Drosophila melanogaster: one gene and its partners. The protein of the gene in region 2 interacts with the protein of the main gene of each other region in a pairwise test. Each region holds a gene or a part of one and is shown on either strand. Other genes may lie near its edges.

What was found.
Region 1: the proteins of CG17855 (region 2) and CG7332 interact in a two-hybrid assay, tested with the Drosophila melanogaster proteins (one large-scale study listed by BioGRID).
Region 3: the proteins of CG17855 (region 2) and CG11906 interact in a two-hybrid assay, tested with the Drosophila melanogaster proteins (one large-scale study listed by BioGRID).

What each region holds. Positions count from the first base shown.
Region 1 is NC_004354.4:18,882,596-18,886,352, reverse strand, and holds the start of CG7332 (uncharacterized protein), read right to left. Parts: upstream 1,841-3,757; 5' UTR 1,537-1,840; coding exon 1,179-1,536; intron 525-1,178; coding exon 391-524; intron 334-390; coding exon 1-333. UniProt on the Drosophila melanogaster protein: Hydrolase that can remove 'Lys-48'-linked conjugated ubiquitin from proteins.
Region 2 is NT_033779.5:9,538,777-9,542,533, reverse strand, and holds CG17855 (uncharacterized protein), read right to left. Parts: upstream 2,012-3,757; 5' UTR 1,891-2,011; coding exon 1,836-1,890; intron 1,782-1,835; coding exon 1,476-1,781; intron 1,417-1,475; coding exon 1,271-1,416; intron 1,217-1,270; coding exon 959-1,216; intron 901-958; coding exon 787-900; 3' UTR 54-786; downstream 1-53.
Region 3 is NT_033778.4:19,282,058-19,285,814, forward strand, and holds the start of CG11906 (uncharacterized protein), read right to left. Parts: upstream 1,905-3,757; 5' UTR 1,726-1,904; coding exon 1,495-1,725; intron 1,423-1,494; coding exon 715-1,422; intron 655-714; coding exon 312-654; intron 251-311; coding exon 73-250; intron 11-72; coding exon 1-10. Other genes in the region: AANATL5 (arylalkylamine N-acetyltransferase-like 5), read right to left, coding at 2,494-3,162; CG10474 (uncharacterized protein), read right to left, coding at 3,516-3,757.

The DNA of each region.
Region 1 (3,757 bases), on a different chromosome or scaffold from region 2:
CTTAAAGTGGAGCGTGTGCAGGCGCTCGTGGAACTCATCCGGCGACAGTTCCTGGTGCATATCGTGTTCGAGCTGCAGGGCCTGGGACAACTTGCTGACCGAGGCGGGAGTGGCTTCTGCCGCCTCCTCCACCTCTTCGGAAGATCCTGCCGCTTGGCCAGCTAAAGCAGATTCTTCCTCGCCAGCCGGTGAGCGCTTTTTGGTTGATCCAGCCTCTGTAGCGTTTCCTCGTCGGCGCAAGAGATGGACGATGCGGTACCGCGGCGCCCGACAATTCTTCAGGATGTCACACAATGCCTGGATCAGCAGGTTCTGCGATTTGTCGAGGGAAATCTGAATAAATGTGGAGATTAGCGCGGTACGGTACTCAAGTGGTAGAAGTTGACCAACCTCCGAGAGCTTGATGCCTGGCAAGTCCATGATAATAATCTTAAGCAAGTACGCCTGCACCGGCGCTATCACAGCACAAGGACCGCCCTGCTTCTGCACCAATGCAGACGGTTCCACTTTACTAAACTCGAATCCTGGTGGAGAAATAAGTGTAAGTAAAATTAGAAGATGGGTACTGCAATGTGAAAAGTGGAGAAGGAGTACAAGAGGACAGCCTTCCTTACCAGCCTTCATAAAGCTACCAAATCTTATATTCATATCTAATAACTGGGAATAGCAGCAAAAAAAAAGCTTTGATAACAAGGAATGGTACTTGAATGATAATACTCAATACTCACAGAGCATTGAAATGGGACTTATTTATCTCAAAATTTGATGACAGGTTAACTAATTAACTTTGTCTATAATCTCAGTTAGTCATTAAATACTACAACTACTCGTGCCACTAAAAGAAGTAATCAATTAATGCCCAATTATAAGAATTGAGATATGAAAATGGAAATACAGACGCGGAGTATTTACAATCTTCATGTTTGCTTCTTGACAGCAATGCTTTAAACATGATCTGGGATAAGTTTCTATTCTTAGCGAAAAGGCAACTGATTGTAGTTGGAAAAACAAGAGTAAATATGAATGAACATGACCTGGGCCAAGTTGAAGATAAAAGCGCCCATTCCAACTGGACGCAGCCTTGCCGAGCGCAAAAAGGGCGCGCTTTTTGCCCCACAATGGGTGGTGGTGCATACTATGTGCATGGGGTATGGGAAGATGAGGAGATGGGTGGTTACCTTGAGACCAACGCTTGAATACATCTTCGCGCACATTGTCGCCCCACAGCAACTGCTTGATTTCGCGCAGTTCGCGCATATCGGTGGCATTCAGCATCGGTTGCTTTTCCTGCTGGCTGGACGACGATGCAGGTGCAGATGCGGATCGAGAGGATGACGAGGCGGATGCACTTGCTCCACTGGTGCGAGGGCTGCTGCTGGCGGTCGTGATGGTGGTCGTCTTGTGCGATTCCAAGGCCGCCGAGGCAAACGTCATCGACGCTGTCGACGCTGACGCCGCTGCCGTTGCACTTTTCGCCGAGACGGAGGATGGGGAATCTTCGCCGCCGCGCTGCTCCCGCACGATTTTCTCGTTCATCTCCGATGAAATCAACGGCTGCACTGCTTTTACTGCTCTGCTCCGCTCCGTTTGCTCGCTCGTTCGCACGGTCGCTCCTCCACTGGTGGTCAGCTCCTACTCCTTCTGCTGCTCCTAGTCCTCGATTTCGGATTCACTCTTTTAGCCCACCAACTTGGTTGGCATTTTTGGCTAGACCAGATGTTATTCGCTTCGCGTCACCCGATTTCCTATGTACAAATCTATTTAATAAATTTTATTTTTTCTTGATTGATATCGATAGCAGGAGGCGTTATTTGGCACAGCCAATCGATTGACTAGTGCAACAGTGTGGGGCAATGTGGCCAGAGTGTGCGCAAATACGTAAACAATCGATTGGCGGTCTGCAAATACGAACCCTAGCAAGCAAAGCTTACTAATTTCTAGGTCTAGAGATTGTTTAATTTTAAGCTTTACCTTTTAAACTTCTCTTTTTCTAAGTGTTATTTGACAAAACAAGCGATTACTTATGGAAGTTATTACAAATATTACAAGTCAAACTGGTTGTAACATTTAAACAAAGCAATCCCTTTGCAAATTCAAAAAATATACTAGATTGTGTGCAAAAATCGATAACATAGTTGTGCCAATCAGGGAATAGTCCTGAACAGAGTTGTCGCCCCATCTAAACCGAATTTAAATTCGTTACGAGAAAAACAAACCTTTTTTATGTTTTTTTCCTTTTTGTCCTGTTTTTTTCTTTTTTATTTGAGTGTTTTTTTTGTAATTTTTTTCGTTTTGTTTTCATTGTTTTAAAATGTGTTCATTTTATGTCCTCCCTTGCGGTGTATATTTTAATTTTCCTCGTTCATGTATCTGTATTATTTTGGTTTTCTTTAAATATAGTAGATATATTGCATATTAAATTAGTTAATAATAATGCGCTGCTCTAGCCCTCTCTTCACTCTATCTCTCTCCCTCACTAACTCAGCTTCTTGCTTTTCGGACCATTTGAAAACGAATAAAATTCGAAAGAGACTGGTTCAAAATTTTTACATTGTTAAAAATCATTCATATACACTATATCTCGGTTCGTTTATAATTTAGTTCATTAATGGTCATTTCGGTTTTTTTTTTATTGTTGTATGTTTGAATATATAAAATAAGCTTTTTAATTTCCATTTTTGTTATTCTTTCTGCTCATCGAGTCGTTATTTAATCATTTATGTATAATTAGTTATTTCCGTGTTATATTCTTGTTTACAATTTGTTGCTATTTTTTAGAGAAGATTTCGGGTTTCATTTAGTTTTTACTTTTGTTCGTCTGTATTAGCTTGATTTTGGCAGAGTTCTTGTTTTCTGTGTCTTTGTGTTTCGTCTGTTTGTAAAAAGTTTTTAAGTTTACTTAAGAGAAACATATTTTTTATTTTTAAAGCACATTTGCTTTGCTGGGTGTGTATGTGTTGTGTCCCTATGAATTGTGTTGTGTGTGGCAATGAATTAAAGCTTTGCATTGTAGTGGTATTGGTTTCAGGGGGCGTGGCTGGGGGCTGTGGCCGAATAGTGGAGACAGTTTAAAATTAAAAAAAAAAAAGCCCACCAGAATAGTGTGTTGCTTGATATTTACAGCGATTGGTAAATAAAACATGTATGCTTTTGTAAAATTAGAAATTCAATTAAAAATTTGTCGCTCTCCAATCTGTTTTTTTTTTTTATATTCAAACTTTCAACTCGCCGCGGCATCTCAGTGTATAAATATTTTCTGTTGCTTAATTTAATATTCTATTTTCCGCTCTCTGTATTTATTTTTATTTATTTTTTGTTTTCGTTAAAAAGAACACTTTTGTAGCGTTTCTACGATTGGTTTTTGGTTTAATTTTATTTTTTCCGATGTCGAATAAAACGCTAAAATACGCAATGTAAATAAGTATTGTATATATATATATATTTATATATGTATGTATATATTTTTTTGTATATAATAGTTTTTTGCATGTTTCTGTAGGCGTATATATAAATAACGTCGCTTCGTGTATGTATATATTTTATGTTAAACTTTGCGCGTTTTCCATTCGTTTTTGTTTAAACTTTTTTAGCAAGCAATTTATATATTTATATTTTTAATATTTTATTTTTACAGTGCAAAAATGTACAAAGAGCCATGAGTAGAGAAAGGTGCCAATGGGGGAATCCCCGGAATGGAAGTTAATCCCACTCCCTCCTTAAAACTGCACATTTCCACGGTTTTCCTCGGTTTTCTCTC
Region 2 (3,757 bases):
CTTAATATTTTTAAGAAATTTCTAAATCCACCGAATCCAAAATAAAGAAATTTAAAAAATATTTTTATTAAAACTTAAATTTATAAAATCTTGTAGTTTTTTTACCCATGACGCATTTGATTTTTCTTTTGCGACGCACATTCGATAAGCATCCAAATGAATATGCCGCAAGTGGGAGAGCTTGATGGTGATCTTAGAGGTGTCGCGCTAGTTTGTCTGGTCCAACCAACAAATGTGGAGATTAATTTACTTTGTCAATAATTTGCAACATTAGGCATTGGGCAACAAGGCCTCCGACTGCATTAAGTCATAAAAATAATTGTCATGTTTTAATGGATAGCGCACCACGTCGAATTGGAAATGGGATGGGAGGGCAGAAGTCGGGGGCTGGAACCTTCACAGCTCGGAGGCCAGATCCTTTTGGCAGGTGATCTGTCCGCAACTCGTTTGATGGCATTAGCAAATAATTTAATTAATCGCCATTAGACGAGGGGTTTCTCTGCGCGCAGTCCAAGAAACCGGGTTACTATATCGCAAAAGTTTTGATTTAACGCAGCCGCCGAGCGTGTTTGTCGAACCTTAAAAGCAAATTCTGGTATGTGCACTGGTTAGGCGTAGTTGGTTCGGAATCTGGGTTAGTCCAGCCGTCTAGTTATTGCTCTCTGTGCGTAAACTTAGTGATCAGTTTCATCAGCTTTAGTATGGCTACTTGTTATTATGATCTATTGGTTGGTTGTTTAGTTTTTGGCTGGGAGCTATGTGATAAGATTAATCCCGCCACTTATCCTAATCAACAGGCTCGCTTTCTTTCTCCAACTTGGCGCGAATTGTTCTTTGACAGCGGGATCTCAACAATTCCCGTCTTAGGGCATTGCTCTCTGTTTCCACAGTTTGTATGAGCTGAATACAAGGAACAATCAGACATATATAATTAATGAGAATTAGGATTAAAGCTTACGCTATGGGTTAAAGCAGCTCTTTCCATAGTTTCTGCGTCGGCATCATCATCCTTGGGGTCAGATTCACTGCTAGAGGAGCAGCGCCGGGCCTGCATAGCTTTATGATGCTGTCCGGGATAGTCTTCCTCATATTTGGGCGGTGGGTCGTCATCGTTGGGTAGCGAGGCCGGCAGACTGGTCGCTCCTTCTTCTGATTTTGCCTTAAAAGCGGCTAATTCGTCCCGCAAGGATTGGTTTTGCATTTCCAGTAATTCCACCTTTAAACGAATCATTTTTACTTAAGCTTGCTAATACGTTCTAAAGCGTCTTACGCTCTCAAGTTCAAAATCCATTTCGTCAATAATGTCGTATGACTCATCAAGGGCTCTTTGAAGTTTTTCTACTTTGGCCTTCAGCTCGTTCAATTCGTTGACATCGCTTTGGGCCGACTGCCTTTTCTCCATAGCCATTCGTTGCTCTAGTAGATTTTTAGAGTATTGATCTAATTTTAAGCAAAAATTCCATTTCCTAACACACCTGCATTTCTTTGATCTAAAGAGGACTTCATTACCAAGCCTGTAAGCGTCTTCTGCCGTTTAAACATCTCCTCCAAAGCACGACAACGTTTCACTTTCTCCAGATAAGCGTCATGCAGTTTGTTGTACTTCTTCTTGTGCTTCTGCAGTGTTTCCACCAGACGATCTCGTTCCTCCTCCAATTGGAAGACCATGATCTTGGCCTCCACATTTATGGCCGCATTGGTGCTGTGGCTGGCAGATGCGCGATTTAGTCGATGGCGCAGCAAAATGTTTTCCTCCTCCAGCTCCGCACTTCTGGACTTTGCTGCAAAGGAGTTTCAATACATGGCGTATACGCAACGACATTGCTCATACGCACCGGCAGCCAGTTCTGCATAGAGAACCTGCATGGTAGATGTAGCACGTTTCTCCATTTGTTCGATTTGTATTACTTCAATTCGTAGTGGTAAAAATTACTCAGCTACTGAAAAATCTTTTGTTGCTGAAAACAGTAAAGATAAGCTATCAGCGAGTTGAATTGCGTGGATATCGCTGGCAGAGTTACTTTGTTAAGTTATTCGATTGCTTACGAACATATAGAATCGATCAAATTTTAAGTCTTAACAATTTAATTAACACTATTATTTTTTTTACCTATGTGGAACCCAAATTGATGGAAAAAGTTTTTTGTATTAATCATCAGAAATGCTAATCAAAAGATAGGCTCGTTAAAAATTAATTATTTCTTGCTCGTCTTGTTGCTTAAATAACAATGTTAATTTAAATATTATATGGTGAACCAAATTTATAAAAAAATTTTTAATAAAAATGTTATCTATATTTAAAGTACGTTAGGTTTGTGTCTTGGATATAAGATACTTGCAAACATCATGGTCACACCATTTATGTAGTTCCCTAATTCGAGTACCATCTTGTAGGGGCGCCACTGTGCCAAAATTTCAAATAACTAAAAAATTCGTTAAAAATAATGTCTTTTAAGAAAAAACAAATTGACTTGTTTAATGCAGTTTTGGTTTATTTTGTTTTTCATTTTAGGAGTCTCATTGTTTTCATTTCATACATGTCCTTATTAGTTTATTTGCAATATTTCTCTAAGTAAAAATATGTATTCCTTAAAACACACTTTTTGAGTAAACATATATATGATATATATATATATGATCTTTTGCACCTAAGACTCACTTTCTGTAGTCCGTTTTAAAATCGCTCTTCAATAATGTATAAGTTATGTTGTACAAACACATATCCCGATACGAATTATTAGCTACGCGTAGGTACTTATTAACGTACAATTGTATACATATATTTCTTATATGGATGTATCTATTTAGTGCTCGAGGAGCTCCTCTCTGCCTCCTTTCCTACTGTATGTGGCTGGTTGGTGTAAACATAGAAATAGTTGCTACTAATTAACCTAGATTGCATCACTTAGGACTACTGGGGGTCTTGCACTCGGGCAGTGCGTAGGAAAACAACCGGATGGATCGATTGAATTCCCATTTCAGTTGAGATACTGATATTATCCGCGTGTATATTTAATTGATATTTTTAAGGCATTATCGCATTTAAAGTACATCATTCGGTTTTAAAATCTAGGCTAGACACTTGATTTTCTCGCTACCATTAAAACAGGGAATTTAGGATTTTTCATAAAACTATTCCAGACCTATTCTTCATTCGAACCCATCGCTATTTTGTCCACAAAGATTCTCTAAATGATGTATTTGCATAAGAATTACATTCAGCGTATTTTCACTTTCTTTCTAATTCAACGTTTTCGTTAATTTTTGTTTTCTATACTCACAAATTGTTTCACAGCACAATTTCCATTGACAATGGTTAAATGTTCGGATTATTAAAACATTGTAATTCGCTATTCGTTTCTCTTTTCTTTCGCCAACTGATTCTCAGTCAATCGTTAAACTTCGAAACCGAGATTGCATAAAGTCGAAATAAAGCGAAACGTATGCAGCAGACTTCAAACACTTAATCGACTTTTTACGGATCTAATCTACACTCCACTAAAATACAATACAAAATATTCCTATCACAACGATCTACTCCTACCTTAAAATATGCTAGTTGCTTTCTAGGATTTCTATTCTATCGCCTGGTTACATAAATATTATCTGCAAGGATTCGTAATCGTATCTGACTCGGATTCGAATTCTGGTTGAATGTTGTATATATCAAAAGATTTCTATTTTCAGATGCCTTCTATTAGTAGATTTGAACACTCGGTCGTAAGTACAATGAGCAGCTGAGGGACGAGTCACTTCA
Region 3 (3,757 bases), on a different chromosome or scaffold from region 2:
TAAAAAGACCCTGCAAGGAACACAAATAAACCAATAAACTACTTTCTTTAAAAAGATCGCTGCCCCACTTACTTGCTGGTGAACACATCGCCGCACTTATGACAGTAAAACCAGCTCATCTTCCAGTGCTCCATGTAGTCGTGCTTCATTAGAGCCACTAGGGTGTCCGTCTGGTAGCCACAGTCAGGCGTGAAACAAGTGAATGATTTCAGTCGCACCTGCGTCTTGAGCAGGTCCAGTAGGTAAAGATCTGAAAACGGATAGCAAGACTTTTTGATACAGAACGATAACATATTTCAAAGGATATTTACCATACTCCTTGTCGGTGGTCATGTGCGTTTCCACCATTCCGTAGTCTCCGTACAAAAGGGAGAGATTACCAGCGCTGTTGCTATTGCTGCGGCTGTGGTTAACAATCCAGTCGCCAGTAAAGTTCATACGTCGCGCGTACATGGCATCCTCCTCGCCCTCTTCTAGTTCCTCCCCACCGCTTTCTATCTCTTCATCTTCTTCGTCCTCTTCCTCCTCATCCATGTCGTACCTATCCCAGGCTTCGGAGCATGCCCGTGAGCGAGAGCGCATCGAGCATGCCCTTGGCACCCGGGAAGTCATAACGGTTTGGCCAGCTTCCTGCTGCTCCACAATTGCTAAGGCCTGTACAGAAAAAACGGAACATATAAGTATATCATTTTTGGGGGATACATGCATACTAACCTCCTGCTTGGCCTGGCAGATGGTGTGATGCATTTCCCACTCGTACTTCGTGTCCAACTGGGCTTCGCACAAATCACACGGATATCGCTGCTGATGCTTCATTCGCTCATGCTGTCGCTTACTGATTAAGGTCTCAAACTCTGCGTCGCAATGCCGGCAGTAGTATATGCGCGATGATCGGATGGCTCTGGATGGCGCCTCTTCATCATAGCTCGCCTCATTTAGTACCCGGCATTTGACGCGCGATGGACGTGGCTGCTTCCTGCGCGTTTTGGAGCAGCGCCTCAAGTGCTGGGCGTAGTAATCCCGTCGAAAATAGGCCCGACCACATTCGTGACACTCCAGCCGTGTTCGCCATTTCCAGCCCTCCGCATGCTTCTCTTCCGTTTCCTTGGCCGATGGAGAATATGGTTGTTGAGCGAGGTATACTTCCAGCACGGAGCAGGAAGAACGCGAGCGAACGCTCTGCCCGCTGTGGGCCACCTCCTCCTGACTCTCAATCAAGGTGGTCGACACCTCTGCATCAGCAATGGGTGGACTGTGCTGGCTGGGCGATGTCGTGGTGGTTGTCACCTTGGTGGTTTCACCACCGGAACGCTGCAGCCGTTGCATGCGCTGCATCAGGGATCGAGTGACCTCCGAGTGCATGTTCAGCTTGCACACGCACTCCACGCAAATGGCCTTCAATGTGGATCGGATTACATCTGCCTGATAATTAAAGAATTCGAATTCAAAGAGTTGGCATGGATGTCGGAATTGGATGATGTCTTGAGTACCCACATGAATCTTCCAGTCGCGACTTAGGCGACGTTGCATTACATGGTTGGAGCGCAGATCCAAAAGCGCCGATGCCTTGGCGGCACCACAAACGGTGCAGTTGGCATCGTTGGCCTCCGCTTCCCGCTCGGCGCCTACGTGGTTCTCATCCTGATCCTGCCGATTGTCATGTTCAACGGAGCAATTGCCGTTGGTGCTGCTGGGTTCCGGATCCGGAGCCGTGGCATCCTGCATCCTGCTGTAATAGGGGCGCTACTGGATAACAAATGGCACACTCAATATATTGCACTTGATCCTTATGTCATTACTGTGCCGCATTAGATGCGTGAGTCGAAAAACTACACTCAAATCCGCCGAATTCCAAGTGTTTTATCTAGTAAATATTTTTTGAAGAGCAGAATGCAGTGTGACCGTTGTTGTCATTGAGAAAATATACCACCGGACACTTTAAAGGTCTGGCAGCACCAACCGGTTATTTCAGTTAGTTTTAAATTAAGATAATTCAATTTTGGATTCGACATTTTCTAATTGCTTTATTTAATACATATAACTTAGCGAATATAATACATATGTACTTTCTAAAATTGATCACATTAGTGAGCATATCATTTAAGGGAAACACAAATCAAACAAAATTTCTATATGTACCACAAAACAATACACTACAGAAATAAAATACAACGCACTTTCGAAACGAGAAACATAAATTTGACGACTTTAAAGAAAAAGTACAATTGTGAGCCCACAAGAGGCTTATGCCGTTTGCAATCATCAAGTGGTTTACATAGCAGTGAAAAGTGCTTACTTCGTACTTGATAAATTCATAATCAACACAATCTGTGCACAATAAAGTAGAGCCCTTAAATTTTATTACTTTATTAGCTCCATCTGGACATGAATTTTCACCTGGGCGGTCTCTATCAATTGTCAAGTCCAAAGGTTCTTGCGATATAAGAAAACACCCCTATTTGTTACTTAGTTTTGCGAATTCGTACTAATTTATTAAAGTTTTGAGGCCAAGACCCGAATGTGGGTATGGGGCGCTGGTGGATTATATATCGGTCGGCCCTGTTCGTCCTTGTAGTCAGCATAGGCCACCGAATGGATGCACTCACATCCCGCTTTCATCGCCGATCGGGAGGAGTAGTGATTGGTGCCACTGCCGATGAACAGACGGAGTCCCCGCAGGCGACCCAATTTAAAGAGACATTTGGAAAGTATGACCAAGATACCTCTTTGCCTCATTGAGGGGTGAACGGAGATGACCAGCAGACTCAGGTAGGAGGAGACTCCGAAGCGTTCGAAAATGTTGGCTTCGCGCTCCACTTTGGCTATAAATTTCCTGCTGCGACCCAAAGCATTTGGCTCCATTTCCTCGGCTTCCTTGTGCTGCTTGGCCATTTCGATGGGATCCATCGTCTCCGCCACGGCAATGCCAACCAGTAGTCCCCCGTTGTTATCGTCGAGTGCCACTATGGATAGTCCCTGCCTGATCACCGCCAGGTATTGCCTATCCACTTCCTCCTCATGCTGCAGGTGAATGGGCTCCTCGAGACCCATTCCCATGGGCTCGTCGTAGTGAAAGTAGTCCGTCATGAAGGTTTTCACTCTTGGATAGTCGTCCTCCTTCATAACTCGTACGGTTATGCCATCATTTTGACTAAGAATCATGTTGGACTGAGCAGCGATGTTTGGTTTCCCGGCTTGATAAACTATGGTTCATTCTACATGACTGCAGGAGCCTTTTAAAGAAACCGAACTGAGTTATCAACAAATACAAGCATAATAACTTTTATTATTTTCTATATTCAGATATGATATGATAGATAATGTTTGCGTGCCATTTGCAAAAAATGAACATGCTTTTATTCAGCCTTTTAATCTACCGATAGGTCTAATCTGAGGCACATTTTCTTTTATGCAGGAGCTAATCGTAATTCTTCTACTCCTGGTTTCAGATACATTTTAAAATGGCTAAGTGCATAACAATTATAAGATTTATAGTCTAACAAAATTAGTAAACATTACCAAATAACTTGTCTATCGTCTTCGGAAGGAGATTTCTCAGGATTCGCTGAGCACTCAACCGATTCCGTGCGCACCGGTTGTCCCGGACTACTGACCATATAGGCAAACTTTCCATTATCCCTGGCCATGCCAGTACCATGGCACCTGACTGCGTACGTTCCAAGCCGGTTTGCAACGATAACGGCGACTTCGAAATACTTTACGTGCTTCTGGATTCGCTGGATGACCAACTCGACTG